4 linked regions of the Arabidopsis thaliana genome follow. The protein of the gene in region 1 interacts with the protein of each later gene in a pairwise test. Each region holds a gene or a part of one and is shown in the gene's direction. Other genes may lie near its edges.

What was found.
Region 2: the proteins of MPC (region 1) and CID7 interact in a two-hybrid assay, tested with the Arabidopsis thaliana proteins (one study listed by BioGRID).
Region 3: the proteins of MPC (region 1) and CID8 interact in a two-hybrid assay, tested with the Arabidopsis thaliana proteins (one study listed by BioGRID).
Region 4: the proteins of MPC (region 1) and CID12 interact in a two-hybrid assay, tested with the Arabidopsis thaliana proteins (one study listed by BioGRID).

Annotation. Positions count from the first base shown.
Region 1 is NC_003074.8:6,702,163-6,708,212, forward strand, and holds MPC (maternally expressed pab C-terminal), read left to right. Parts: upstream 1-3,311; 5' UTR 3,312-3,363; coding exon 3,364-3,462; intron 3,463-3,554; coding exon 3,555-3,767; 3' UTR 3,768-3,965; downstream 3,966-6,050. Other genes in the region: AT3G19340 (aminopeptidase (DUF3754)), read right to left, coding at 50-121, 216-303, 389-457, 562-696, 799-911, 1,029-1,100, 1,183-1,287, 1,381-1,494 and 2 more; AT3G19360 (Zinc finger (CCCH-type) family protein), read left to right, coding at 5,382-6,050.
Region 2 is NC_003071.7:11,185,850-11,195,150, reverse strand, and holds CID7 (CTC-interacting domain 7), read left to right. Parts: upstream 1-3,753; 5' UTR 3,754-3,914; exon of another isoform or gene 3,915-4,055; intron 4,056-4,366; 5' UTR 4,367-4,422; intron 4,423-4,530; 5' UTR 4,531-4,571; coding exon 4,572-5,345; intron 5,346-5,426; coding exon 5,427-5,865; coding exon of another isoform or gene 5,866-5,900; exon of another isoform or gene 5,901-6,003; coding exon 6,004-6,074; coding exon of another isoform or gene 6,075-6,080; exon of another isoform or gene 6,081-6,445; coding exon 6,446-6,570; coding exon of another isoform or gene 6,571-6,646; exon of another isoform or gene 6,647-6,713; coding exon 6,714-7,008; 3' UTR 7,009-7,425; downstream 7,426-9,301. Other genes in the region: ARSK1 (root-specific kinase 1), read left to right, coding at 892-1,302, 1,548-1,683, 2,015-2,151, 2,239-2,362, 2,448-2,914; AT2G26270 (BRCT domain DNA repair protein), read right to left, coding at 7,492-7,710, 7,915-8,068, 8,248-8,462, 8,552-8,677, 8,851-8,970, 9,228-9,301.
Region 3 is NC_003070.9:20,026,440-20,034,557, reverse strand, and holds CID8 (CTC-interacting domain 8), read left to right. Parts: upstream 1-2,938; 5' UTR 2,939-3,314; coding exon 3,315-3,614; intron 3,615-3,890; coding exon 3,891-4,004; intron 4,005-4,095; coding exon 4,096-4,140; intron 4,141-4,217; coding exon 4,218-4,290; intron 4,291-4,388; coding exon 4,389-4,501; intron 4,502-4,602; coding exon 4,603-4,662; intron 4,663-4,742; coding exon 4,743-4,790; intron 4,791-4,898; coding exon 4,899-4,967; intron 4,968-5,091; coding exon 5,092-5,153; intron 5,154-5,235; coding exon 5,236-5,296; 3' UTR 5,297-5,635; downstream 5,636-8,118. Other genes in the region: AT1G53660 (nodulin MtN21 /EamA-like transporter family protein), read right to left, coding at 1-28, 419-580; AT1G53655 (uncharacterized protein), read right to left, coding at 1,057-1,167, 1,772-1,801; AT1G53645 (hydroxyproline-rich glycoprotein family protein), read left to right, coding at 5,971-7,125, 7,504-7,653, 7,747-7,932, 8,044-8,118.
Region 4 is NC_003075.7:6,553,127-6,561,201, forward strand, and holds CID12 (CTC-interacting domain 12), read left to right. Parts: upstream 1-3,855; 5' UTR 3,856-4,209; coding exon 4,210-4,578; intron 4,579-4,746; coding exon 4,747-4,857; intron 4,858-4,946; coding exon 4,947-4,991; intron 4,992-5,062; coding exon 5,063-5,135; intron 5,136-5,220; coding exon 5,221-5,333; intron 5,334-5,428; coding exon 5,429-5,488; intron 5,489-5,577; coding exon 5,578-5,694; intron 5,695-5,800; coding exon 5,801-5,862; coding exon of another isoform or gene 5,863-5,893; exon of another isoform or gene 5,894-5,956; coding exon 5,957-6,017; 3' UTR 6,018-6,476; downstream 6,477-8,075. Other genes in the region: AT4G10613 (RNA-directed DNA polymerase (reverse transcriptase)-related family protein), read left to right, coding at 7,913-8,075. UniProt on the Arabidopsis thaliana protein: Binds nucleotic acids in vitro.

The DNA of each region.
Region 1 (6,050 bases):
TGTAAACATGAACTGCAACAAAAGAAAAGAATCTGCCAAGAAGACCAACCAGACCAACTACTGCAGATATTAGAAATTTGACCCAATCCATTGGAGTCAGTCCAGGGTTTCTTTTCTCAGGCTGCACAAGACATTAATGTTATTGCAGCTAGTTTGCAATTTTCGCTACAAAATCCAGCGATGCAAAAGGAAAGAAGACAAGAACAGAAACTTACAAGCACAATCTCCATGTCAGCCATAGGAATGTTTTTGAAATGCTTAACGTAGATTCCTCGTTCTAGATTTGTTTTAGAGCTAGCTCGTCTGCAACATCATAAACCACAAGCTTGAACCACAAGTTCACAAAGTTACAAACAAATAGCTGAAACAAGACATACATATACCTTACCTATAAACAACAATCATTCTATCGAATGTAGGCTCCTGTATTGTGAGCTTGCTCAAAAAACTCTTAAAGCTGAATCCATCAACACAAATGCCATTATCATCATATATATGTACAGAATGGCAAAAGTTTGGGTTGAAAGCAAATCATAACATGCGAGGGATACTGATGATAACCTCAGCTTTGAATTCTCAAGGCGAATACGCTCCACATACAATTCATCATTATCTGTGTCAGGGTTTGGCTCATCATCTTTTTTGGGATCTTTCTTGTTAAGACTGCTTGACCTTTTGGCGCGTAATTTCTCTAACCTGTGATCTAAATGTGTTAAGACCCAACATGTAATCAAATGCCTAACTTTTTTTACTTGTATTGAACTTTAAGAAAGACTAGACTGGGAAACGTGTTCTAACCTGGTGATTCTCATGAGAAAGGACCAAAAACGTGAAATGATCACATCCAATTTCTCCATGAAAAAATAATCTGTGGTTTTATCCAATCCAATACCACGTCTGAAGATGACATACTATATAAGAAAAAGGGTAAATACTATATCAACACATGTCGCTACATGACCATCAAGAAAGTCTTTAGGAAACTATAATCTTGAAATGCTCATCTACAGACAAACTAAAAACTGTACCTTATCAGAAAAATCTGGAATATTTTCATGTGGATGCTCCTCAAAATACCTCTTGAGCAGCTTCTTGTCAAGCTTCATCCACCAAAAGCAAGAAAACTATTTTATAAGAATCCCGGCAACACACAAGCATTAGTGAAAGTTTGTTTAAACAAACCTTAGACTCATCAACTTTGATGGGAAGATTGAGAAGATACTGCCCAGAGTGTGCAACTTCCATCTCTTCATTACTTGTTATTTTAAAGTTGCTCTTCTCCATAACCTTTATAAGCGGGGGGAAAAAGAGGCACATTTCAAGAACAATGACATAGATAAATATAAGGGAGGAGATAATATCCTAATCAAAGAGAGTAACCTGAAACAAGTAAGCTAGGAAATTTTGTTCAAGGACATCAATCTCTTGAGAAGTTAAGTTCTGCTGCTGGATTTTCTGAGCACCGTGTACAGGATCAAACAGAGAGTATAGTTGCTGGAAATTCAAAAGCGCATGATAAATGAGAAAGCAAAGCAAAACAAGTTTGTAAAAGAGAGATTTTAAAAAGGAAAGAGGTTAGAGACCATGAGATCTTCAAATTGAAGAAGATACCAAGCTCGAACAGTGTACTCAATTCTCTTACATAGCTTAAGGAACTCTTGTCTATCATTGCTATGTTCTGCAAAAACACAATTTATCCGACCAAATTTGTAACCAAACAGAGAAAGGGCCAACGATTGTGAAAAAAGCAAAATTTGGGATTTGGGTTCAAAACCCGAGAACAGGGAAGAAGAAATTGGAGAAACTGACCAATGAGATTAGCCAAGGTCATGATGAGTTTAGGTTTGAGGATAGGGATGACCGATTCGGGCTCAAGACGAATCACTTCCTTATTGTGTTGTTCCGCCATTTCAAAAGGATCGAATTTTTGGGAAATCAGAAACAAAGGAGGAAGAAGAAAGAAGAAGAAGAAGAAGAAGAAGCGTAACGGACCCTGAGGAGGAACAAAACTGAAGCGTTCCAATGAGTTAATGTCGTTGAACTCGACCAACGAATCATCAGCCCAATGCTTTTTTCTATTTCTTGCTTCTTCTCCTTTTTTTTATTATAAATAATAATAATAATCAAATAATGTGATTTTTATTCTTTATGTTATGTCTTAAGTCTAATCTTCTGGTTGATCCTCCAATCATTGTATAACATAAGCTTCCTATATCATAATACATCAGCCTCTGTTTCTCTTAAAAAAAAATCATGTAGAGAGTACTTAAACAAATTCCTTGCCGACATTCAAAAGAAGAATAATTTCAGACCAATACCAATGTTGTGACTTGTAGTAATGTTAAAAGACCAACAAGGTAGGTAGGTCCTCTCACTTATTCAATCTCCCACAATATTATTATCTCTCTCATATAGCCAAAACCCAAACAGTGCTTCTGTCTCTCGTGTGTTTCCTATTTCGTTTATATGGGCTATATAAATTAGGCCCATGACATTATATGGGCTTTCACATCCAACTAAATGGATTATGGATTCATAGCGCGTGTGTTCACTGTCTCCTTTTAAACGCGTGGTTAGATCAAAGTCTCTCAGATTTCTTACCTTCTCTTTTAAAAATGCAAAAGATTTCTTACCTTTTCTTTTTTTGTGCAAAAGATTTCTTACCTTACAAAATTAAAATAGATACAGAGAATGTTGACTTGGTGAGGATGGAGGACACGTGTCAGTTTTTGATTGAGTAAGCTATTACTCTCCTAGATTTCTTTCTATTCCAATGTATAAATTTGTAACAAACATTGGATTTTGTCAAAAGTACCACATTTTCGATTTTTGTATATTGTAAATTGTGAAATTTTCAATATTTTTATTTTAAAAATCTAATTTTAAAATTCATGCACATTAGTTTGTCCCAAAAAAATAAAAAATAAAAGCTCATGCATTATAAGCCAATCACACTACCTTGTAATGTTAATTCTAAGAGTTAGATAATTTTGTTATTTGTAGATATACAAAACAAATGATTAAAAATACATTTAGTAAATTTTGCATTGTTCAACATACGTGCTAACATATAGCCATTGTTTTTCGACAAATCTAAAACCAAAATTTTATACTATTTACATAGAAAAAAAAAATAGGCATACGGTGTTATATCATTTTTGTTTTAGCTATATTATAGCGCGTGGTTCACACACATGATCTAAAGAGCGTGTTGAATCCCCAATTATTAAAAAGAAAGAATATTGGCATTTACCTAGATATTTTGTTTTGGTTTTGTTATATATAGCACATGAAATCTTATTCATCAAAACACTAAATTTTGTTTCTTCTCTCAAATATATCGTCGTCTTCATTGCTTAAGTCATGAATCGTTTATGCTTTTTTAACAAAGTTGTAAAAGTTGCCCGTGGTGATTCACCTCCTTTTGATCTTGCTTCTTTACCTCCCAAAGAACAACGAGATGTAAAATTGATTTTGCTTACTTTAAGATTGCAGCTACTTACAAATATAGTTTATGTTATCTTTATATGACCTAAATTTCTCTTTTTTTGTAGTTGATTGGTGAAACTTTGTTCTTTATGGTGGAAGAACTTGAGCCACAGTTTGCACCAAAAATCACAGGAATGATTCTTGAATTGGACCAAGACAAGGTCCTTCATCTGCTGGTAACACCTAAAGCCTTCAAAGAAATGGTCAAAGAGGCAATGGAGGTCCTAGCGCACTCCTTTCTGCAACAGATGAAAATTGCTAGGGGAAAAAGATGTTAGCAAGTTCCTACCTTCCATGCTCCCCGCTAAACTTTGAAATGTTTGTTTGGTTTTTGTTCATTAATATGAGCAACAAAATGTGGCTTTAAGTTGAGTTTTAAATCTTTGTTTTCATTTAAAAAAAAAAAAATCATATGTTAGTGTATCCAAATGTTTTAAGACAATAATAAAAATAAAATAAGTTCTGCTTCGTCCAAATAATTACTAGAGTGGTTATAACTGATGTTTTAGTTAAGTTGAATTTTTAATTTGTAAACAATGTATCCCTTAGTAATATCTAAACTTCTTTCTTTCATATTTAATCTTACTTATATTAAAATATATATATATATATTTATATTCTATTAAATAAGAAAAAAATATATATACATATATATAATAGTAATAATTTATGTTGATTTCAACTATATCGATAATGTAAAGCATGACTAAACACTAAATAAATGATATTTTTAGTAGCCCGTAAGATATTTTTATTATCATGTATTCAAAAAGTTTTAATCCAAACATATTTATTTAAATATTTAGATTTATTTTACTTTGTATGATGTAAGTAGATAATGTTTAGTTTTTATTTTACTTTGTATGATGTAAGTAGATAATATTTAGTTTTTACCAACCAATCTTTTTAGTTGCTAGTTTTTTACCAACCATATATACCCTCTATCCTTTTTGTATTTATATCTTTTAGGATAAAAGGCTAATAATAGTTTGATTTACTTTGTTAACATATCTATCATATACATCAAGTGTTGCTTCAAAACATAAAACCAAGACATGGAATTTTATAATTTATACTAGTATTCTCGTTGTATCATAACTTATATTTAAATTTGTGTTTGTTGTAAACAATCGAAAAGCATATAGAATTCGTATATATTTTATAATAATAAAGAAAAGGAAAAAACAAAATCGAGACAAATGAATAATAATCATGAAAAAATGTTTTTCATATGTTCTTATATATTTTCAATTTGATAAATACCGAATAAATGTTTCAAAGTAATTTGACTTTTTAAGTCAAATAAAATCTCTAAATTATAACAGTGAATCACAATAGACCAAATCAATCATAGCAAATAGATATGATTTATGAAAAAATGAGAACCTAAGTTTTAATGTTATACGATATAATTAGATAATTTAAAATATATGCATAATATACATATACTATTATTTTTATTTAATGTGTTGAAGGATACAAAATTATTAAAACCATAGCGATTACGTAATTTATTCACTATTCATCAGTTTCTTAATCCAAAAGAAAAAAAAGAAGAAGATAAAGAGGTATTTATATATCAGATGTTCAAAAACCCTAAATCGCGTTTCTTCTCTCAAATCTGCCGCCGCCATCATTGATCCAGGTATTGCTCTAACCTTGACTCTTCACGTCATTCGCATATTACTCTCCTCCTCGCTGATCCATTCGAATTCTGCACTCAAATCGTGTTTTTGTACATCATAGTTTCAAGCATTATGATTCTCTCTAGCCAATGACTTTTCTTGCGATTGAATCCTTTTGCAGTCTCGTTATCAAAAGTTGAAGAATTTAGTTTAGTTTGGTTGTGTAGATAAGATTTGTAATCGCAAAATTCGATCTTTGTTACAGTTATGGATTCGAGTTACTCTGATTCTCGTCCCATGTTCGTGCAATCACCTTATGGTGGTTGGAATCAAACACAGATGATTGATTCAATGGCTAATCCAATGAACAATGAACAAGGAGACTTGCATTCACTATCTGAATCACAATCACAATCTCAACCGTCTCAGCAATTACAGCCTGCATTGAAAAGGCCTAGACTTGTTGATGATAACTTGTTTAATCCTGCTTCGTCGTTTCCTCAGCCTTCGAGTAGCAATCCTTGGATGGTTCCATCTTTGAACCCTCCTCCTGTGAACAAAGGGACTGCTAATATATTCTATAAGACTAGAATGTGTGCTAAATTCAGGGCAGGGACTTGTAGGAATGGTGAACTCTGTAATTTTGCTCATGGGATTGAGGATTTGAGGCAGCCTCCGTCGAATTGGCAGGAAATTGTTGGACCTCCTCCTGCTGGTCAAGACAGGGAGAGGGAGAGAGAGAGGGAAAGGGAGAGGGAAAGACCGTCTTTGGCGCCTGTTGTGAATAATAATTGGGAAGATGATCAGAAGATAATCTTGAGGATGAAGCTTTGTAGGAAGTTTTGTTTTGGGGAAGAGTGTCCTTATGGGGACAGGTGCAATTTTATTCATGAGGATCTGTCAAAGTTTCGTGAGGACTCGGGGAAGTTGAGAGAG
Region 2 (9,301 bases), on another chromosome or scaffold:
CAAATTTGTTTCTCTTCCTTACTTCTTAAATTTTAATCATGGAAGAAACAAAGTCAACGGACATCCAATTATGGCCTAATCATCTCATTCTCCTTTCAACAAGGCGAATCAAATCTTCTTTATACGTAATATTTATTTGCCAGCCTGAAATGTATACCAAATCATTTTTAAATTAATTGCCTAAATTATTAGAACAAAAACTATTAGTAAATAACTAATTAGTCTTATGAAACTAGAAATCGAGATAGTGGAATATAGAGAGACACCATTAAATTCACAAAATCATTTTTAAATTACCTAAATTATTACAACAAAAACTATTAGACAGAACTAAGTCTATAATGAAACGAGAGATCGTATTTGGAATGTAGAGCGAGAGACAATTTTCAATTCATTGAATATATAAGCAAAATTATATAGCCCGTAGACTTTGGTGAGATGAAGTCTAAGTACAAACAACTGAATGAATTTATAATCAATAATATTGATTATATTGTGATTAGAAAAAGAAAACAACTTGCGTTATTTTTCAATATTATTGTGAGGATTAATGTGAACATGGAATCGTGTTTCTCCTGAAAAAAATATCAGCATAGAGCTTAGAACAATATAAATATATCCACCAAAAATAACTTCAACATTTTTATACAACTAATACAAAAAAAAAAAAGCAAACTTTTTGTATATATAAATAAATTTGAAAACTCAAAGGTCGGTCAGTACGAATAAGACACAACAACTACTATAAATTAGAGGACTTTGAAGACAAGTAGGTTAACTAGAACATCCTTAATTTCTAAACCTACGCACTCTACAAAAGATTCATCAAAAGGAGTAAAAGACTAACTTTCTCCATTTTTTCCCCAAATAACACAAAAGAAGAAGTTGAAAATGGCAGTGTTCAAGAAGAAGAAAACATCATTGACATCTCTGTTCTTGGGGTGTTACAAGGCAAAGAACGCAAGCAAATACGAAGGAGGGGAGAAGGCTGTAATGAAAATAAGAACTTGTCCAGCGTTCAAGAGGCTGTCTTTATCGGACATAAGCGATCCAAGCTCGCCCATGTCGGTTATGGATGATCTCTCTCACTCCTTCACATCGCAGAAGCTTCGTTTGTTCACGTTGTCTGAGCTGAGAGTGATTACGCATAATTTCTCTAGAAGTAACATGTTGGGGGAAGGAGGGTTTGGGCCGGTTTACAAAGGGTTTATTGATGATAAGGTTAAACCGGGTATCGAAGCCCAACCGGTTGCTGTAAAGGCTCTTGATCTTCATGGCCATCAAGGCCATAGAGAATGGCTGGTAACATTTCTTTCTCTTTATGTATGTTTTTGTCTACATTCAAGACTTTTCTATTCACAAGGAACAATTTAATTACGAAGACCGTCTCGATTATTTTATATATTTTTTGAATTTTGGTTTATCTTCTTAATTAGCTATATGAATCTGGCCATTTTTCAGTATGTTATTAAATATATATATCTTTTGTGAAATTTCTTCATAAAGTTTTTTTTTTCAGTGTATACAAAATTTATTTTTGTTTGCAGGCGGAGATATTATTTTTGGGACAACTAAGTAACAAACATCTTGTGAAGCTGATAGGGTTTTGTTGTGAAGAAGAGCAAAGAGTTCTTGTTTATGAGTACATGCCTCGAGGTAGCTTGGAGAATCAGCTCTTTCGAAGTACGTCATCTACTATATTTTTACCTAACTTGCTAAAAGTTGTTTCAATTTTTGCTATATATGTTCTAGACCGCGTTACAAAACATTTTTTCTGTTTAAACCTAAAAGAACAACTCCACGAAGACTTTAATTACGTTTTAGTTATAGAATGACAAGAATAAAAAATATTGAAGAAAAGAATCCATATGGTTCACGTTAACTTCGTCAAGTTCTTACTTTATTTATGGGTCGTACACTACATTAATAACTTCTTAAAAAACTATATATTTTTTATAATTTAGATAATATTCAATAGTATTACTAACTTTGAAAAGTGTGTGAATTGGGACAGGAAATAGCTTAGCAATGGCTTGGGGAATAAGGATGAAGATAGCTCTCGGAGCCGCCAAAGGTTTAGCTTTTCTCCATGAAGCAGAGAAACCTGTCATCTACAGAGACTTTAAAACCTCTAACATATTGTTAGACTCCGTGAGTTTTTTTTTCCTTTTTAAATTTTGTATCCACTATTAAATCAAATTAAAGTGGTATTTCTCAACTGACTCTTTGATATTTCAGGACTATAACGCCAAATTATCTGACTTCGGTCTAGCCAAAGATGGACCTGAAGGCGAACATACGCATGTAACTACCCGAGTGATGGGAACACAAGGTTATGCTGCGCCCGAATATATCATGACTGGTAACATTTTTGTAAGGAATTTATTTCTTTTACCGTGAAGCGATATTCTTTGAGATATGTCTTTAATGGTTTACATGTGTTGTAGGTCATTTGACGACGATGAATGATGTATACAGTTTTGGAGTAGTTTTGTTAGAGCTGATAACCGGAAAACGGTCAATGGACAATACCCGAACACGGAGGGAACAAAGCCTAGTGGAATGGGCGCGGCCTATGTTAAGGGACCAAAGAAAGTTAGAGAGGATAATTGACCCGAGGCTCGCGAACCAGCACAAAACAGAAGCGGCTCAGGTAGCTGCTTCCCTAGCATACAAGTGTCTAAGCCAACATCCTAAGTATAGACCTACAATGTGTGAGGTGGTTAAGGTCTTAGAGTCTATCCAAGAAGTTGATATTAGGAAGCATGATGGCAATAACAACAAAGAAGGAAAGAAGTTTGTTGATATAAATAAGTTTAGGCATCACCGTAAAGGCAAAAGACGTGTGAACATCGCTTATTCAGATTCTCTCGTTTACAAGGAATCCAAGGCAAAGCAAAACGATGGCATTTGAAATACATCATTTTCTCATATGAATTATTAAGCATTCATATTCTATGAACGCAATTCTTATCTTAAGTTATGACCATTCTTCCAAAAATTTGAAGGAAAGAAAGGTGATGTTATAAGTATCCTAGTTCTCTGGTATTTTAGATTAATTTCCTTTACATAATTCAAAAATACTTTGTACAAAAGAGTCATGTACAAGAAATATAAAATAAATGTTTGTAAATCATATATATATACACCAGTTTGTTGGGCGGACAACGTTGAAGTTATTTCGCTCTTTAAAACATAGTAGATGATCACTTGGTTGGTTATTATGGAGATTGGAATTGCAATAAAATCAAATCATGTATGGTACGGCAGCTACCCCTAGATTATTCTTGGTGATTCCAATGAAATTATGAGCTCCTCGGAGCACTCTCGTTTTCAAGATTACATATGAAACCGTTTGGGTATATTTGAGTTTCAGAATGCTGTATAAATGTAATAAATTATTAAATTTTTATATTTATTTTATCTATATCAACAATAAGTATACTTTTTTCCCTAGATGACTTAAATTCAAAGCAAATTAACAATAACAATCAGTTTGAAGATTATTTTTCCTAAATATAAATATAATTGTATAAACTTTAATTAGATTTTTAAAATAATAAGCTAATTCAGGATATTCAAAATATATAGAGAAATCTTATTAAAAAAAAAAATTAGTTGAAAGGAAATAGTTAACCTAATAAAAGCAAGTAATCAAAGCCCAAAAATTTACAATTAAAACCCTTAGTGATAAGGATTAAGTGTCATTAGTAGTTAATAAATAAATGTTGTAGATAGATGGAGTCACTAAAAAAAAAAAAGGTCAAAACGAGAGGCGCAAGGTTTGGTGTCTTGTTAAATAAATCTTGTGGTGCTCGTGTTACCTCTTTAGCCAAACAACACCCCCAAACAATTACTCTTATAGAGAGAGTAGAAGAAGACGACGCTTACCCCAAAACTCGAATCCCTAGGAGGTAACAGCTTAAGCTCTCCGATTACCCCAAACTGCAAAATTTCTCATCTTTCTCTCTCTTTATCTTGTTTTCAACAGCAGCCTTTACCTTTTTCTTTTAACCTCTGATCTTGTTATCTTCCATGGATCCATTTCCTTAAAGGTTTGCTCTTTCTTTCAGAGATATTCTTATCTCTACGAATCTCATCTTGATTTGGGTTCTTCTTTTTTGTGTGGTTTAATAAATCACAAATCTGTTTTTTTCTATCTTGGATTTACTTAAAAATCTTGTTTTTAATAAAGGGTTTTCTTTTATTTCAGTCATTTAAAGATACCCTTATTCTAGAATTTAGTAGTTGTGTTTCAAATTTTAAGTCTTTATGTGTTTGTCTGGTAAGAACTATAAAAAAGCTGCAATGGGTTTTGACTTATGAGTTTGTAGCCACTGAAAATGTATCTCTTTTTCTTGTTTAGGTTTTGGTAATATGAATTGAGAAGTCCACGCACGTGTGTATCTCTATTACCGTCAGGTGTGTTACCTTTCTTCTCTGAGTAATTTGTTTGATTAAAGCAAAGTATTTTGCAGGTTTCTTCTTTGAGTAATTTGACTTAGAAAAGCCAAACTCTTTTTTTTGCAGATTTTGGTTTAAAAGCAGTTATTTTTACTAGTCTTGTAAGAATGAGTTTAACAAAGAAAGCAAGTGAACCAAAGCTAAGTGGTACTAGTATCAAGCCAACAACTTTAAACCCTCATGCTGCTGAGTTTGTTCCGTTTACTCTACGTTCTCCTTCATCTGGAGGTACAAGTACTTTGGATACAAGACTTTTAGCTTCTTCTAGTTCTGTTGGGAAAGCGGTTTTGGACAGGACAGAATCATCTGCGTCACATCATTCAGATGAAGAAGCACGTCAGTTCTGGAGTCATCAACTTCCTGATGATATAACTCCAGATTTTGGGTTGATGACTCAAGATGACAATTCTTATGGATCTGGTAGTTTGTCACTAGCTAACTTGTCGTTGTTTGACGGTAATGAAGCTGAGAAGTTTCCTTCTGCTAGTGGAGGATATGGCTTTTCAGATCAAACTGGATTAGCTTCACATAATGCTAATGGTAATAGCTTGGCTGATAAGAGTAGATATCCCATTTCTTCATTTGGGGAAGATCCTCAGCGACAGAGTTTCATGCAACTGAGTCCAAAGCCTTGGGATAAGCAAATCATGAATGCTGAGCAGCTTCTTGGGAATGACAGGGAAAGAAACCCTTTTAGTGGGAAATCTCGACATGGCTTTGTTAACGACATGATTACTGAGAGTCCAGGGGATATGGAGGTGAACCCTGTGGATTTTCTCGCTTCTCAGTTCCCCGGATTCGCCGCTGAGAGTCTAGCAGAAGTTTATTTTGCTAATGGGTGTGATTTGCAGTTGACAATTGAGATGCTTACTCAGCTTGAGGTATTCTCCTATTCAATATATGGCATAGCTTTTATTGATGTTATGTTATTAAATTCTATGTTTATTTTCTTCTCTGTATAGCTACAAGTGGATGGTGGCTTGAATCAAAACATAAGCCCTAAGACTTATGCTCCTCCTAGTCTAACTCCAATGGATTTTCCTGCACTAAGCATCTCAAATAGCCATGGTATTCCTGCCCAGTTTGGTGGGGATGATTTGCAACAAACTGGAAATCATTACCAATCTCCTGAAAAGGATAACATGTTCTTCTTCAAGTCGGGACCATCGGTTTCTCAGCCTGGTGCAATCGATTATGTTTCTGCTGTCAGGAAGTTAGCATCTCAGGATTCTGGTATGTGGAAATATGAACGAAATGATTCAGCAGACTCATCTATTGGCTCTAGCAGGAATTCTGGTGCTTACAAAAGTGGCCGTGGGAGGAGTATATATTCTGATAAGCTGCAAAGTCGAGCCCAAACTCGACCTGCTCCTGTTTGGGTGGAGACCGGGGATGCTGTTGGTAAGTTTCTTCTTTTAACAAACTTTATTGCATAGACAAATAACTATATGAGTCTTGTTATACATCTGTATTGAACATATGTTATCTTATTCGACGATGTTGCATTTCTGGCTCTCTCTTTTATCTGGGGATGAACAGGCAATATGTATTCTGAGTTACGCGAGGAAGCACGTGACTATGCACGTTTGCGGAATGTGTACTTTGAACAGGTATAATATACTTGGAAATGACATTTTACTCATTTATGTGGCCTCTAGTTGTTCTGCAGACCTGTTGTTTTTTGCAACTGGGAAGTTCCATTTGGTACATACCTGTCTATTAATGTTAAGGCCGTGTAATGTGGCCTAACCTTGAGGTCTATTGTCCAGATTGATTTTTGGAAAATACTTCGGGTGTATGGCGTAGTGAATCATAAGTATTTGGAATCTTGCGTGCAATTTATGATGATAGTTTATAAAGCTTTTTGTCAATGATGGGGTTTTCACCGGTTTTATTACTTCGACGTCATCTTATTAACCTGTTATCTTTCTGTCTTAGTCATGTACGCTCAATATTCTATGTTGCTTCTGGTTGAGCGTAGGCACGACAAGCATACCTTGTTGGGAATAAGGCCTTAGCCAAAGAGCTAAGTGTTAAGGGACAGTTGCATAATATGCAAATGAAGGCTGCTCATGGGAAAGCTCAAGAAGCCATTTACCGCCAGAGGTTTGACTTCTTTACCTGCACTGCATCTCCTTGTAACATGATCTTTTATCCGAAACACACACTGATATCTCCATAAATGAAAAACAAAACTCCTGTTCTCAGTATCTCTGTTCTAACCTGCCTATGAGTAAAAAATGAAACAGGAACCCAGTGGGTCAAGGAAACAGTAGAGGGAATGAGAGAATGATAGACTTGCATGGGTTACATGTGAGTGAAGCACTTCAGGTGTTGAAGCACGAACTGAGTGTGTTGAGGAGCACAGCTCGAGCAACGCAAGAGAGGCTTCAGATTTACATATGTGTAGGGACAGGCCACCACACAAGGGGTTCCCGCACTCCGGCTAGACTCCCAGTTGCTGTACAGCGCTACCTACTCGAAGAAGAAGGTCTTGACTATTCCGAACCACAGGCCGGTCTCCTTAGAGTCATCATATACTGACAGACAAAAGCCAGGTACTTATATAGGATACAAGACCGGAAAAGAAAACAAAAAAAAGGAAAGGTGACCACGCTATTCATTTGTTGTATCTGATCTGTACATGGGAAGAGAGGAGAAAGAGACTAGCTGAAAATGAAGAAGGAAAAAAAAAAGTGTTAGGAAAGAGATCCGCAAGAAGGAAGGAACGAAGGCGTATGCATAAAATGTTTAGGTTTGTTCAGTTAATACTTTTTGTAGCATCAGAGGATCGATCAGACCTCTTTCTATCTTTTTGTCGGGATCTATACGATGTTTTGTTGATTCTCGGTGCTTTTTTTTTTTTACAGTTTTACTCTATATGTTATACTCCTTTCTTCTGGAAATGCTTATATTTGTAATTCTCTTAGATTTAATGTGCATCACTAAGTTACAAATTCATGAGTCAAAAAGTAAAATTTTGTACTTTAAAAAGCTTGTTTCCAGTTATGTATTGTAAAAGAGAAATCAAGCTCTAATCATAAGCTCATAAACATTACTGTTGTTCTCTCCATTCACTCGCTTAAGCATTTCGAAACTTTTCCTGCTTCCTAATAACTCTATTCTTGGGAAAACCAAGCATCCTTCATCTGATGTCTCTTTGCTGCAATACACTGTTCTGAGACGGTCAGCGTGCCTCGAGTCTGTGTGAATTGCAACTTCTATTTCATGATCCGGCAAGTTCTCCTGCAGAATCAATAGACACAAGAGATCTTCTTATTGTGAACTAAACGGTAACATGGGCCTAGTGAGTCAACAGAGATAGTATAAATACTAATCACTCATAAGTTCCTAACTAAGACGAAGAAATTGATTCTAAAGACTCTCCTTTTCATAGCAACTAAAAGGAACTGAAACGAGAAATTGGCCATTCGAATATGATGGTTATACCTGGTAAAATCTGTAGATATAGTCTAAGATTTGCAGGCAAGTGAAACCACTATCACTGAAATAAGTCCGTGAAGAAGGTCCCATCTCCGAGAACCGATCAGCTGGATATAGAATTGTAAGGAAGCTGTCTTTAAATATCACTTCTGTCTTCTCACTGCAGAAGAGCGCCCAGGAAGAAAAAAAAGATAGTTGACCACAGTGAGATATTTCCAGGATTGCAACAATGGCAGCAATAGATAGTAGTAGACTATCACTGGAACAATTTACTTCTAAAGTAGCCATGTAAAATCTAAAAAATGAAGGAAAAGAGATGTACGAAGAACGAAACAGTACCTCTCGGTTAGTGCTCTGGTTGAATTTGAAAAAGAAGCCACTGGATCTAACCCTTTATCTATCCCATCTTGTACAACAGAAGGCTGGGGTTCACTGATGTCACGACTGCTGCTGTCAGTAAAAATAGTGGCGGCTGAAGCTGCTTCAGATATTGTCCAGCAAATATTGTCCAGCAGGCTGTACTGTGTTATGCGTCTTATTGGGTTTTGGCAAGTCTATGGGACATCCAGAAAGAGAACAGACAAATTCAGACACTATGGTGAATTTAAGACATCAGGGAAGAAAGAGAAAGATCATCAGTTACCTGCATATGGCGAGCACGTCGTCTCCTAACCCCCGTTTTAGCTATATTTACAGTCTCTTTCCGTTCTTGTTTTGATAAACTTCTGGATTTAAAAGCCTCTTGAGAATTACCTTGCCCGGAAATTTTCTGTGAGATTTATACAGAGAAAGGTCGCAACTATTACTCTCATCACTTGAATTGAAATTACAAGACGGGACAAGGAAACGTAGGAAGACTGAGAAATTATGTGCAAGGATAGAGAATGGGAAAATTAACTTGTAAGGACAGTAGAAATCACACCATATGAAAAGATAAAGTACCTCATTTGCCGCACCATCTTCAAAATTTTCAAGCATTAATCCTAACTGTCTAGCTAAATCAGGTGACATGTGTACAAGTCTTTGTCGATGTTTCTCCACTGTTTTCAGAACCCATAGTGGCTGATGCAAGAAAAAAAAAAACGAAATTAAGCATGTTAAGGTCATCATGAAACAAATCTGTTAATCGACTAGGATTATCTTTCTCATCTAGCTCACTATGGTCAATAGTATGACAAAGTAACAGAGCAATCAAGTCACATTTACATGGGATTGTGTATCAAATTATCCACATTTTCATAGAATATCAAAACAAGCGGAAGTACATCTTCTGGAGAATACATTACAATTCTACAAAAATGACATAAAGAAGAACTCACTGAGACAATGGTTTTGGCATGGCCAAGGTATCTCTGAATAGAAGCACCTTCACACACGACAAAACTTGCATTGC
Region 3 (8,118 bases), on another chromosome or scaffold:
AGTTTATTTCCTTAGATGACAATACCCACTGCATCAGATTGAGTCAGAAATAAAAATTAGTGCTGGAAAAAAGAAACTGAAAGAAGCTAAAGAGAAATGGAATGAACCAAAATTTACAAAAGTTTGAACAGTAAAAAAGTTGTTTAAGCGAATAATCATTTGTGTAATGGAAGTACATAACTCACCATTGAACCATACATTTGAACCTACTGTTGTATTAACAAGAATTTTATTATTATTATATTTCTTGTCCAAAACCAAATCGCATTGTAACAGAACTTTACCAAGATTGTCAAAGTTAAAAGCTTTAAAATCTACTAATGTCCACCAGATCTAATAAAATCAAATCTTGAGCAAAAAGACTGCAAATAGAAAACATAGATCCAATAACATATGAATGTGAGATTTGACTTAAAACCTTATTGAAGAAGATTTGACCGCTAGAGAGAGTGATGTAGAGAAGAATGGAAGCATACGTCACATGTTCTTCTCTAAGAAAGCCTCTGATCCGACTTCGATCCGCCATTAGAGTCAACAATCGTTTTGGTCTCAAATCAGCAAAAGATATTGCGATTCTCATTTGGTATGTCTTCTTCTTGAATATTCAATAGTACCTCACTTTTCCATCTTCTAAGCAAACTCTTTAAAGTTGACTAAAAGTAACGAAGAAATTAGCGGATCCCTCTTTAAATAACTTCTTTTCTACGAAATCCGTTTTAATTTATAAAGATGGGTCGGGTACACGGGTCATAAACACATAATGAGAGACTATGGGCTTTTGTTGACCAGTAAAATTAAAGCCCAGTATAATATCATTATTTTTTTATTTTTTTTTTATATATATCATTATTCTTAAAAGGGAAATTTGCAAAATTGACTAACAAAAAAACTATAATTAAGAAACTAACCAACAAAAAAAACAGAGACATTTTGTATATAAACTATAATATATACTAAAGTACCCTTAACTATACAATCACCATCTCTTCTATGCTATTACAACCATTACCCTTGTAACCGTCATCATCATTGCATCCACCACTATTTCCACAAATGTCATACCATCATCACCATCACCACTGCAATCGTCACCACCATAGAAACTACCATTACGCTGTCATCTCTACCATCATCACCATTATTGCCGCCGCAATTGACACACGACCACTGCAACCACCAACACAAATATTACTACGACCTACACCATACACACCACCACCACCTTAATCACTTCTTCCTCTCTTCCATTGCTTGTTTCACCTCTCTCGCCTCTCATCTTTTTTTTCTACTTTAACTTAATTAAAACAGAACCGAACTATAGTTTTCTATTTTACTTTCAATTTTGTACCATTCTATTTGCTAGTTAGAACAAAAAAAAAATGAAAACGAAGACTCACAAGATCTTATTGAATATTTTCTGGTTTGATCAATATATAAAATTGAAAATCCTTAACACAAATTTAAACCCAAAATCGAATCGATTTCAATTCGCTTTAGGAAAGGAGAAAAGAGATTAAAAGTATATAAACATGATTTTGTCAGATTTCTAAAAACTGAAACTTGAGATGATTTCATTTAGTTTAATTATTTTTGTTTGGGTTCCATATATAGTATCTTAGGGTTTAGTTTTCTTAAATCAATAGATGTTTTTAAATTAGAATGGATTGATATAAAAAATTTAAATTTTCTGGAAATTTTCTGTTGGATGGAGAGAAGAGAAGAAGCAACGAAGAAGATGATGAATGAAAAAGGTCTGTTAAAAAAACATTACCTTTAAATCAATATCTGATTCACAATCCATTACCTTTAGAACATATAGAATATTACCTTTAGATCAATATCTGATCAACAAAACGAAGAAGATGATGAGTCATGGCAAATTGGAAAATAAGGAAATAATGCAGGGATAGACTTGTAATTAGTTAGAGTTTTTGGTTACTTGCTGAATTACGTAAATTATATGGCTATATTTTTAATTTTTTGTCCTAATATGGCTATACAGCTAATTCACCCTTCTTACAAAAACTTTTTTTTTTGGGTGCAAAATTCTTACAAAGCTTTGGTTAATCTTTTCAAATCCCCAACACACGAAGCTCTTATAGACCAACTCATTAATTTTAAACACTAAAACTCGTAATCTGAAGAAGTGAAGTGAGTTTAAATTTATGAAAACTCTAAATTTGTAATTTGAGTTTTGGTAAGAAATTGATAGTTTTTCTATGCAACAATAAAAAAATGCAAAACAAATTACACACTTAATACATCGTTGCAAAGTCTTACATTTTTTGTTTGTATTTTTTTTTCCTGACGAGAAACCATTCAAATTTTATATTAGAAAAACCAGAAAATTATCATATTGTTGTGTGGTTACTGTTATTAGGGATATCAATACAAAAGTAACTGCAAACCAAAATTGAAATGTAAAATAAAATAACAAAATAGAATAAAAGCAGATTATAAAAGTGGAACTATAAAATCCCAGCAATAGTTAAAAAATATATTAAAAAAAGGAAAAAATCCCCCAACGAATCCAAAGATTTATGGACTAATTATTATAACAATTGCTTGCAATTATGAAGAAAATAAAAGTTTATAAAATAATCAAAATTTTGTTGATGTGTCAAACTAACAGTATCTAAAAAATAACACATTTCAATGCAGTCCATATGAAAGACCACACCCTATCTAATATCCATAACAAAAATAATAACATTTTAACAATTATATTAAATAATAATATTAGTAATGTGTAATATATTTCTTAGCAAAAAAAGTGTACTAAAACTACTAAAGATTTTTTTCAATATAAAAAATGTAATAAACTGGTGTATGTGTAAAATATGTAATTATCTAAAGGCCCTCAAGAGGAACATAAAATAATAAAGAATCATAACTTTTCTTTTCTTTTTAATTTTACATTTGACGAAATTAATTAAGAAAAAAATCTTAGTCCGAAAAAAAAGAGAAGCACTCTTGTTAGAGAGTTTTGGTCTATTTGATTGAGCTAGAAAAAGGCCTAAGCAACAAACCAAAACCCATCATTCCTTCTTCTTCTTCTTCTTCTCATCCATCGCCACCTTCTGAAACCACCGCACTAGATTTATATATTGTCTACGATTAAGCATTCTCGTATTCTGAAATGGGTGTTCAATAAAACTCGATTAATCTCATCAAATTTTGCATCTTTTTTACGAAATTCGACTGAAGAGAGAAGGAAAAGTTCGCAACTTTTTCTTTCCTCTGTCTCTTGTTTTTTGTTGAATTGTGATCCTTTTTGTTGTTTTATATTTTTTTGGAATTTTCTGATCTAATTAATGGCTGCGATCACTGAGATGGCCACTGATTCAAATGACGTAATCAACGATGGTGGAACTGGAGACGGAATTGAGAAGAGCACGGATTCTAAACCGGAAATCGAATCGGATGACCTCAAACCCAAATCCAAACCGGAATATGATCAAATGAAGAAGCTTGTTGCCATGTTCAAGAAACTCAATCCTGAAGCTAAGGAGTTTTTCCCTTCTTACAAGAGGAATACTAATCAGTCTGACGATTTTGTGATTGCTATAAAGCCATCTGGTGAAGACAACAAAAAGGTTGCCATTAACCGGAGGGTACAATCTCTCTTCTGTTTCTGATTATATTTTGATTGGTAAAGTTTGGATTTTTGGTTGACCTCTAAATGAGGTTTCATTCTAAGTGGGTTTAGGTCTTTGTGCTGGAAAGTCTCTAGCTTGAAGTTTCATATAGAAAGTTTTGTTTTTTGATCTGGTTTGGTTGGCTAATAGTTACATTGTCAAGTTTTGCAACTCTTATATGATCGTTACTTAACATTTCATTAAGAGTTTTGGTAAATTGTCTGTTTTTTGTTTTGGCTTTGTGGATTACAGAGAAGAAACAACTATAACCAAGGGAGGAGAGTGAGGTTACCTGGAAGAGCTTCTAAGGCTCAAAGAGAAGATAGTATTAGAAGAACAGTGTATGTCTCTGACATTGATCAGAGTGTAAGTTACTTAAACCCTCTTTTTAGATTTTCAGAAAAAAGATTCAGTTTTTCAACATTGTCACCTATTTTTTTTTTTTTTTTTCAAATAGGTGACTGAGGAAGGCCTTGCTGGCTTGTTCAGCAGCTGTGGACAAGTAAGTTGAAATCTATAAGCTTTGTTACCGGTTTTCATCTTTTGTTTGTTAATTAATATTACATTCTTCTTCTGAAGGTTGTTGATTGTCGAATCTGCGGGGATCCGAATTCAGTTCTTCGCTTTGCGTTTGTTGAGTTTTCTGATGACCGTAAGTTAAAGCTATTGGATTTTACTTAATCTTCTTTACAAACAAAATTCAAGTGTCAAGTTTGAGTTACATTAGTATGAATTTGTTTTGAAAAACAGAAGGTGCACGATCGGCTTTAAGTCTTGGTGGAACAATGATCGGATATTACCCAGTTAGAGTCTTACCTTCAAAAACTGCTATTCTTCCAGTGAATCCCACATTTCTCCCCAGGGTAAAAAACAAGAAGTTCCATTTTTCTCAGCCTGCATAGTAGCTTACAGTTTTAGAAACAAAAATGATGGTTTCCACTATTTCCTTTGGTGTTTTATTCAGTCAGAAGATGAAAGAGAGATGTGTTCAAGGACCATCTACTGCACAAATGTTGACAAGAATGTAAATACTTTTTCTCCGTTAAAGTTTAGATTGCGTTTGCATACTTGTTCTCGGATTTGAGAGATTCCTATAAATTGCAGGCCACTGAAGATGATGTCAATACCTTCTTTCAGTCTGCCTGCGGTGAGGTCAGTCTAGAATCCGAAAACTTGCTTTTTCTGCTCTCATAAAGATAATATGAAATTTGTAAAACAACAATAACATTCAACTTTTTTCTATCTTCTCTCTCTGTACAGGTTACTCGCTTAAGGCTTCTTGGTGACCAAGTGCATTCTACTCGCATAGCTTTTGTTGAATTTGCCATGGTAAACTCCTGTTAAAACTCAGCTTCTGTGTCCTCTTTTGTTAGTGTTAACAAGTAAAGCTGAACTTTTCAAGGCTTAGTTTTTACTTAACAACTGAATATGCGTTTGTTTACGGGATAAAAAGGCAGAGAGTGCAGTTGCAGCGCTAAACTGCAGCGGAATAGTCTTAGGATCTCAGCCGATAAGGTACACACATTATTTCTCTTTTGTGACAAACCTTTCATTGAATATAAAAACAATTTGAAATGAAATCTTTTGAATTCTTCAGGGTAAGCCCTTCAAAGACACCAGTGAGATCGCGAATCACTCGATCACCATCGCCAAACTAGGAGAAAACAGAGGCTTTGTTGATGAAGGAGAGTGATGCAACAATATTCAGTTATTTATTCTTTTTCAGTTGTCTTTCTTTTTCTAGAGCAGTTGTTTTCCAATTATGTAGTTTCTGGAAAGACAACAACCATGAACATGCTTCTTGGATTTTGAGTTCTTGTTCTGAGTTCTTTGACTTATTGAGTCATATCATCTTTCTTTAAAGGTTTTTTTTTGATCATTTTTGTTGGTTCTTAACTAAAAAAGTTTAGAATTTAGGAGATTTTAGATTTTACTATTTATGTTGAAGTGTTGAACGCTTAAGTTTTGGCATAATCATTCTCTTCATAGGAGTTTTTGGGTCAATGGAAAAGTATATTTCATTTTCCGTCAGGTATCAAAATCCAGGGATGGAACTGCAAAATTAAATTTTGGATCATTTTCTTTGTAATGTGCTTGAATTTGGCCTAATGTCTATAACTATGGGGGATTTCGACAAATCGAAAAGTATAAATCTCTTCCCATCAGGTACTCAAACTACAGGGATGAATTTACAAATATGCAGCAATAAGTCAACAGAAACGGCGACGTTTCGGAAAACCCCCATTTTCCGATTAACACAGTAACTCAAAACCCTCAAATCCTCAATCGCCAGTGTTTACGAAAGTTCTTGAAATTTGAAGAGATCTCACAGATGAGAAGTGCTATAGGAAGAAGATTCTCAAACCCTAATGGCTTCACCATTGCATCCTTAGTCAAACAAACTCCATTTCTCACCCAATCCACATCTCATTTCTCCTCTTCCTCCGACTCCTCCGGCCGTGGTCGTGGACGCGGTTCCGGTGAAGATGGAGGATTTCCCGCCGCTGGAAGAGGACAATTCGGTGTAAATCGTGAACCGGTGGTTCCTGGACGTGAACCGTCATCTGCCGGAGGTTATGGTCATGGTCGTGGTCGTCCGATCCAATCTGATTCGATTTCTCCTGCGTTTACGTCATTTGTCAAATCAGATTCTCCTAGTATTGGCCGTGGAAGAGGATCCGTTGGATCAGACACCGTTTCACCTTTCGCTGCTGAACCTCCTCGCCAATCGCCGCCTCCACCGCAGCAACAACAGTCTCAATCGCAGCAACAGCGTTCACAACCACAACAGCAGCAGCCGCGTTCGCAACCACAGCAGCAGCCTAATGATGAATCTCAGGGAAGTCCTGTATTTGTGAAGCTGCAGGAGATGCAGGACGCAACTTCGTCTCCACCACCACCAGAGTCTAAACCTGGTCAAGCTGATCCACCTGATAACATATTCAATGCATTAGGAAACGAATTTTCACATCCTAGTGGAGCAGGTCGAGGAAAGCCTCTTGTGGAATCTGCTCCAATCCGACAAGAAGATAACCGCCAAATTCGACGCCCTCCGCCTCCACCGCAGCAGCAGAGAGTACAACCTCAGCAGAAGCGGGCTCCAACGGTCAAAGATGGAACTCCTAAGCCGCAATTGAGTGCGGAAGAGGCTGGAAGAAGAGCAAGGAGTGAGCTTTCGCGTGGTGAAGCTGAAGGAAGCAGTGTGGGAGGAAGAGGAGGGAGAGGGAGAGGGAGAGGAAGAGGAGCAAGAGGGAGAGGCAGAGGAAGAGGTGGTGATGGATGGAGAGATGATAAGAAAGAAGAAGAAGGTGAACAAGAGGCTATGCGTATATTTGCTGGAGATTCAGCTGATGGAGAGAAGTTTGCTGAGAAAATGGGACCTGAATTGATGAAAACGCTTGCGGAAGGTTTTGAGGAAATTTGCGAAAAGGCGTTGCCTTCTACTACTCACGATGCCATTATAGATGCTTATGATACCAATCTCATGGTAAATGTTTCTGTGTTTTATTTTCTCTATGAATTGTCTAGAAAAGTATACAACTTGCTACTGAGAATGGTAACACTGAAACTTCAAATAGTATTAGGAATATTGAATTCTCGAGTAGCAATAGTATTAGTATTGAGTCATACTCTATAATGTGGTAGAATTGGTTGTGGTGGCTTTGAAGTTGTTTGACTGAAATATGCACAATGTACAAAAGTAGGCCACCATCTCGTCTTGTATGATTTTCAGATTTATAATAGCCTCTATGGTTTTTGTTCTTTCATTGTGAAATCGGTCATTCAGTCAAAGGAGCGATGGAGAAAGTGCTCTTTTTGTTGGTTTTTGAGTCTCTTAGTTTTCTCTATCTATTTTGGTTTGCAGATTGAGTGTGAGCCTGAATACATTATGCCAGACTTTGGATCAAATCCTGACATTGATGAGAAACCACCAATGTCTCTGCGTGAGTGCCTTGAGAAGGTGAAGCCTTTCATAGTGGCTTACGAAGGAATCAAGGATCAAGAAGAATGGGAGGTAATAGTGTTCAATTTGTGAATTTGTTTTTATATGAATCGACGCAATATTTTGTTTCAGTTGATGATCACTTGAATTTCTCACTTTCTGCAGGAAGCAATTAATGAAGCGATGACACAGGCTCCCCTTATGAAAGAGATTGTTGATCACTACAGTGGTCCTGATCGTGTAACTGCTAAGAAACAGAACGAGGAACTCGATAGAATTGCTACAACGCTTCCCGCAAGTGCACCTGATTCCGTGAAACGATTTGCAGATCGTGCAGCTCTTACTCTTAAGGTTTGATCTCTTTAACTAAACACTCAAACTCTTCATCTAACATTACTCTCTTTCTATCAGATATCTCTAGAGAGGTATTGATGTTTTTCTGAAATACTTTTGGCAATGCAGAGTAATCCAGGTTGGGGATTTGATAAGAAATACCAGTTCATGGACAAGCTCGTTTTAGAGGTGTCACAAAGCTAC
Region 4 (8,075 bases), on another chromosome or scaffold:
CCCCATAATGGTAAAACTATTACCAAACTCTCCCACAAGAAATGTAACAACATAAACAAAAAAGAAACTCTGAAATTTCTCTTAACTTTAAAATAATTCTAGAAACATAAAAAGAAAAACCAAAACCAATCCTATTAAAAACATAGGAAACCAACGATCACGTAACCTCCATCCCTTAACATGCCTACGTTTTCGTCGGCGTCACCGTCTTCTCCTTCAGTGATCACTATCTTCATGATTTTTTTTCTTGATCACAAGAACTTTAATGCGGAAGCTTTAATTCTTATCCACAAGGATCGACTGCTCTGATACCATGTAGAATTAGATATTCAACTGACTTGCTTTTATTGATTCACTAACTATGGTATTTATACACAATTATCTCTATCAAGAGATAAACATAAATCCCTAAAATATAGGTTAGAAACTCTATCACCAAAGATAAGTACTAATCCTAATCGGATTACACATATCCCCAATATATAATTTTTTCATTATAAGTTTTATTATATGTTATAATTTTTGAAAAAAAAAAGAATGTTTGTTATAATTCTCTTCCTCCAAATACTTTGGTGAGGTTTACGATAAGATTGTTACGTTCAATCCTTGCTCTGAATAAGTTTTGGTTCGTGTTGTTTAAATTATTCAGTACTTAACTACTAAACTAAAATCATGTATATGTGGATGCGAAATATTGTTTTCGTATTTTTTTTTCTACGGTGATTTCAATATTGGTAGCTATATAATCTTTGTGTTTAATGAACTTAAAGTACCAAAAAATTACAAGTGAGTTTTCGGTAAGGAACTCAGATTATTTACATCTCATTAATCTATTTACATTAATTCGTGATCTTCTGTTTACTACGGAGTTTGGAGTATTTCAAAATGTTTTCTCTAGCTGTATCTTCACAAGATGGGCTTCCCGATATGGGCCTCTCAAAATATATTTTGTTTTTGTTTAAACAACCCAAATGTAGCTTTTTTCTTGTTTAAACCCAAATTGTATTTGTTTTTATTTTCTAACAAAAGAGAAGTATTTCGGGTGATACCAAATAACTTTCGAAGGAAAAAGACAAAACATAAAATGAGATTTGGTATTTTGGTGGTTGCTAGGAAACTAGAAGATGTCTAGTACCATGATTCGATTTCCGGAAAATAATACAAGACAAGAGTTTGGTAGCTATTGCGTCGATAACATAAACAATTAGGCAGCATTTTAAACTAAAAGAATAATCTAAAACCACTATTTTCAGCTTTGATTCCAAAAACACAATAATTCTTTTAAGAAGATGTACAAAAATTCGAAAAAACTAGGTAGATTTGCTAAATTTATCCCCAATAATTACAAAACCAGATACCAAATCAAAACACATGTATATTATTTCCGAACTGGTTCGGATTAATTGATTTTCAACTCATAGAAACAGCATAAAACATAGGGGTAATTAGAAGAAGAAAAATTATGGTAATGTAAATTTAAAATAATGTAGACAAAATCAATTAAGATGTTGTATTTGTTTAATTCTTGACCGCCACTATATGTAAAGCCTATTCTTGTTCGACGAGCAGTTTGCTATTTTTGAAGGCTTTAAAGATTTGTTTGTCGGTCTTCAAAAATTATATATGATTCTTTTTTGTGTTTTGTTCTCATTCAAACACTACCGAAAATCACTTTCCGGTAGATCATCTATCATGAAATTGCTCCAGCACAAACATGCTTAACTGTAAAGTTTTTTCGATATGTTTAATCGAAAAGATAAGTGCATTTCGTGGATATAGATGATCTAATTAATTTTTAAAACTCTTTTCATTCACTACTATATATCCTGAAATCGGGATGTTACAATTTATTTCTGAATTTTTTTAAGTGTCTCCTACATAACTAGATATGTTACAACCACTATGGATCTTATTTCTAAAAAGTATTGAATACATCATGTCTAAATTGATTAATTCTCAAATATACTACATTTTATGCTATTTTCTGTAACTTCCATCAGAATCCAAAATTTTTTTTTAACATACCATAAATTTTAATTTTATGATTTATGAAATATTTATAGATTTTATTATTTTAATATTTTTAAAAAAATCCAAAATAATAGTATCTTTTTAGCTAAAATTTCTTTTACTGTATTTTAGGATATTTCTCTATCTAATTGTACACCATACATATAACCATAATTTGGTGTAATTCAGATTTAAATTAGGATGACATCAAAATTAGTCAAAATCAAAATAGCATCTCTATTTTATTCTTATACTTCCAAGGAAAAAAAATAAAAGAGCTTTAAACGTGTCGTTATAGCTGTAAAGCTGGTGATGGAACTGGTAAGTTGGTAACTGCTTCGACCACCGTACGAATATGGTGGTTACTGGTTAGGCTACACGGTAATTTCTTTTATTTACCTGCAGTGAGAAAGGTAAATAATAATGAGTGAGAGAGTAATGGATAATTCTGAATTTGTAATGTCATTGTCATTGTTTTGTCAGTAAGTGATGCTTTAGTTAACTCATGTTTATCCATATGGGCCATTCTATGTTTCATATATATATATATATATATATATATATATATATAATATGTTATTTTACTTTTTATAATTTTGATTCTTAGTCTTTATCAGAAAAGAAAAAGAATTGATTCTTAGTTCTTGGATTTATGAAAAGTAAATAATTATGTGCAAAGAGATTCTTTGATAATTTTTCAATATAATAAAATATTAAGAATATTATTTAAAAAAAAAAAATTGAGGGAAGAGATTCATTTGATTTTACGAAAACGCTAAAACGAGATGGATTAAATGTTAGCCTTTTTCATGACAAATATGTTGTAAAGCATAATCATGTACAAGGTAAAATAATTTTGGGTTTTTAGTGTTTATGTCGTAATTCTATAATTTTTCTCAACTACTTTTTTCTTTGTATAATTTAGCATTTTTAATATCAAACACTTTTGATTCCAAATACAGTTTATTTTTATTTTCTTAAGACTACTTACCAAACACACATAAACGGTTTTTAATATCTAAAGTTACCAAATGTATGTATTTCAAAAAACAATCATCAGCAAATTTAGATGTTTTGAATTTTTATTAGAAGAAATGCATTGCATGGTTATAATTAGAAAATTAAAATAAAATATAAATCAGGATTATATGACCAAAAATTGTTTTAACTTTTACTTAGCATTTACACATAAATTAACAGAAATATAATATTTTTTAAAAAATAATTTTCTTATAATAAAAATTGTTATATTGAAATTCGAATATTAAGATTTGGCAAGTCGCCAAAATATAATCACACTCAACAAATTTATATTGTCTCACTAATTATCTGTTCATAATACATATATCAAATGTATAAATCTTAATATAATAAATTTTAAACTAATTTCAACTGTCATACTAAACAAGAGTTTATACAAGTCTTTACCTAGTGTTATACTCCCTCTGGAAATGTTAAAGCTTATTGTTTAAGAAAACATATTATACACCTAAAGAAAACTATGCATTCGTTTTGTGCCATGTGTTGTTTTACTAGTCGTGACTCGTGATTCTCCATATCATTACGTTAATCCCAACTCTCAACTATTATTATGTTATTTTTTACTATAGAATGGAAACTTGTAGATTACTTATATGAAGGTTGATTAAAATGTAATTAAAATCTGTATCTTTTTTATAAAAAAAGTCTCTTCATATATGTTTTAGTTGATGAGTGATGGACAAGTAAAAATAAATAAAATAAGTACATACGTTTTGTTTTAGTGATATAAATATATGATGCCAAAAATGTACATATATTTTCTGGATAAATATTAGAGTTGTAGATCCAGGTTTGCTATGATCTAGCTCTGTCCGAAAATTGCAGAGCGTGATCTTTTCTCTGTAGTACGACCGATTTGTTTTACTTTATCCAATCGTTTTAACTTTTTCACCACGGTTAAAAAAGTTAAAATCAGATCTCTAACCATTTTCTCAACGAACCTCGCTAATATTTCTCATTTAATCAAAATTTAATCACCATTAATCCTTTGGTTGATTACTCTTTTGTCCTCTTCTTCTTCTCTCTTCTCTTTCTTGGTGGCTCTCTTCTTATAGCCACTGTTCCCTTTTTCATTGTATTCCTCAAATCTCTTTACTTGATCGTTGGTTCTCTCAAAAATCAGATTTTTATTTCTGGGTTTTGTTCGATTTTGTGATCATGGCGGTCATTGAGAGCGTCGGAGCTAATACTACTGTGGAAGCTGGTGGTTTGATCTCGCCGTCGCCGCCGTCTTCCGTCACCAGTCAAGAATCAGGAGCTTCTTCTAACAACGATCACGGTGGAAATGGAATCCATGATGAGATCGGAGTCCACGTGGCGAGATCCGACGGTGGTGAGAGTTTTAAGCGTGATATGAGAGAGCTTCACGAGCTCTTGTCTAAGCTTAATCCTATGGCTAAAGAGTTTATTCCTCCTTCACTTACTAAGCCAGTTGTTAATGGTTTTAACGGCGGTTTCTTCGCCGTTAATAATGGCTTTGTTGCTGCCGGAAATTTCCCCGTCAACGAAGACGGTAGCTTTCGTCGGGTAAGAACATCTCTCTTCTCTCTTCTCTGTGATTTTGGGGTTTTGAATCAAATTGTTCTTTAGGGTTTTTGATGATTCTTCATTTTGGTTTCTCTGTTTCTTCTTGTGTGTGTTTGTGAGTTTTAAAAATCTCACCTTTATGTGTCAAAATGATTTGATTTGAAACAGAAGAAGTCGTTCGGACAACAAGGGAAACGGAGAATGAATCCTAGGACAAGTTTGGCTCAGCGTGAAGAGATCATAAGAAGAACTGTCTATGTGTCTGATATTGACCAACAGGTTTTAAAAAGTTTCCACCTTTCTTCAATTGTTCATTCTCAGCCTTTAGTGTATAATCACTTATTAGTAATCTTATTCTTGGGTTTAAGGTCACTGAGGAGCAGCTTGCTGGTTTGTTTATCGGCTTTGGACAGGTTTAAGCAACTTCTTAAAGTTCATCTTTGTTTGTGTTGTGTTATGGTGTTGACTGTATTTGGTTGTTTAGGTTGTTGACTGTCGTATATGTGGTGATCCCAACTCAGTACTTAGGTTTGCTTTCATCGAGTTCACTGATGAAGGTATCATTAGTTTCTCTATGTAATCTGTTTATTGGATAATGCCTGTAAGTGCTTGGTTTATGGTTTGTCATTTTGGGACTTGTAGTGGGTGCAAGGACTGCTCTGAATTTGTCTGGGACGATGCTTGGATTCTATCCTGTGAAGGTTATGCCGTCTAAGACAGCTATTGCACCGGTTAACCCAACCTTCTTGCCAAGGGTAAGGTTTTTTCTTGTGTTTCATCACATTCTGACTGCAAAGTTATGGTTTTTTAGACTCAAGAGGTTTGATTTTAGTCCTGTCTTTGTTCTTAGACTGAAGATGAGCGTGAGATGTGTGCAAGAACTATCTACTGCACTAACATTGACAAGAAGGTGACTCTCACTCGAATAAATTGGTTTCCTTTGCCAAACTATTCTGAAACTTAATGTTGCTAACTTTGCTTAGTTTCACTTTTCAACAGCTCACTCAAACCGACATTAAACTCTTCTTTGAGTCTGTGTGTGGCGAGGTGTACCGTCTGAGGCTACTGGGCGATTATCATCATCCAACTCGCATCGGCTTCGTGGAGTTTGTCATGGTAAGCAAATACTTCTGTTATCTCTCTTTCTTCCAACCTTCCATTTGTCAACTATAACGCTTATGCATTTTCATTAGTTAAGTATGATCTTTTCACTCTTCCGCAGGCTGAAAGCGCGATAGCGGCTCTCAACTGCAGTGGTGTCCTTCTTGGTTCTTTACCGATAAGGTCCAAGAACAAACCAACACTTACTCTTTAACATTCTCTCTAAATTGATCATCAATCTGAACATTGATCGTACTTTGGTGGTTGGATTTTGCAGGGTGAGTCCATCAAAGACACCGGTTCGTTCCCGTGCTATCCCGCGACATCAAATGCATTAACCGTAGCTACAAGTTTTATATATATTTCTGCTCCTCACAGACATGTAAAGAATGTTTGTCTGAAACTTCTGGTTCTTCTGTTTTCCCGTATGTAATGCTAGAAGCTTGATGATGCTTCTGTTGCCTTTTGCTTTTGGGTAAATCTCTTAGGGAGAGTTTTTTCGATTTGGGTTCCTACGTTTAGTAGTTTACACAGAGCAGAAGAGTAAAACACTGAGAGAGGCTTTTGAAGATTGTCTCTGTTTTTTAGTTATTTATACTCTTACCCCTGAAGTTATTAGAAACTTGCTTTGGTGCTTAAAAGTTTCTTCTACATTTTAGAGTTATGCATTTACATTATTGTCCTTCTTTGTTTTTTTTAATTGTTTTCGTCTTCGAGAAAAGTGTTAGGTACATGAAAGTCTGTGTTCTTAGTTGAACAAGTCAATTTCTATTTTCATTTTAAATTTCGGAAACGTGAATCATGTTTATCAGAAGAATATCAAGATTATAAAACTATACTAGTCACAAACATATTTAAATTTTAACAACAAATGAAGAATTTTGAGAATTTTAATTATATTTTCTTTGAGATATTAAATTTATAAATTTATGTTCAAAGTTTTTATGTTTTCATGTTAACGTCGGGAATCAAAAGTCGTCCTAGAAATAAATTATATAATTACCATAAACAATTTTGAATTTAATTATAAAAAAAGAGAATGAGGAATCTAGAAATTTATTGTTTTACCTTAAATTTTTGGATATTTCCCATGTTTAGTCTATGTTCGTAGTCAACTCAAAACAAAATCAAATTTCTGTTTTCGATAGGATTTAAATAAGAATTATCAAAAAACAAAATCTGAATAAAATAAAGAAAGGAATCTTGGAAATTTTTAAATTTTACCCTGAATATTTGTATTTTTTTCTTAAGTTTTAACTTTTCTTTTGGTTCTCCTTTCATCAGCAAACACATTAATATCAGTCAGACAGTCAAATTCTTGAATTGGTCAATGTTAAATTTTTAATTATCATGACAAGTAAACTTGCTCAGTTGTATTTTTAATCGAATGGTAAATAAACTTTAAAGGATGAAATTGTAATTTGCAAGTATCACACGTCAAGCGTATGTGGTGGCTAGTTGGACTTACACCAGTTGAGTTGATCCATCTTTGCGCATTTCGAGAGCGTCTCTGTCATCTCTAAGTAAAGCTTTGACATCTTTTGTACTTTCCAAAACATACAAAAAAAACAAAAAGTCAAAATTGTTGTAATTATATTACAATAAAGCAAAAGTGGCTTGGTCTGTTGTCTGCTTGCCAAAATCCGAAGGGGGGCTAGGCCTTCGAAGATTCACAGAGTGGAATGTTACACTTAGTCTAAAGCTCATCTGGCTCTTATTCTCTAATAGTAACTCTCTTTGGGTCGCTTGGCATAGACATTACTGGTTCATAAAGAAAAGATTGCAGGATACTTGGAATTGGAAGTGCCTCATACGCCTAAGACCACTCGCAGAACGTTTTATTAAGTGTTATCTTGGTAATGGGTTGAATGCAAGTTTCTGGAGGGACAATTGGTCTCCTTTTGGGCCACTGATTAAGTTTCTAGGTGAAGAGGGTCCAAGGAGATTGCGGATCCCTGTGGTGTCCTCTGTTTCTAAAGCTATTGTGGAAAATAGTTGGATTTTGCCATCACCACGTTCTGATGTTGAGCTTCAATTACACACTTACTTATCAACTATTGCCCTTCCATTGCAAACGGACTCGGCAGATTCCTATGGTTGGGTTGTTCAAAATGTGGATTGTAATGGTTTTTCTTCCTCTAAAACATGGGAGGTCCTGAGGAGAAGAGAAGACAAAAAGGATTGGGCTCCTCTTATCTGGTTTAAAGGTGCAACGCCTAGAAACTCATTTCATATGTGGATTTCAAATCTCGATAGGCTGCCTACTCGTGCGAGGTTGGTTTCTTGGGGTCTGCAGATCTCACCTCTCTGTTGTTTATGCTCTCAGTCTGTTGAGACCCGGGACCATCTTATTCTCACTTGTGGATTCAGTTCTTCAATCTGGAACATGGTGCAGG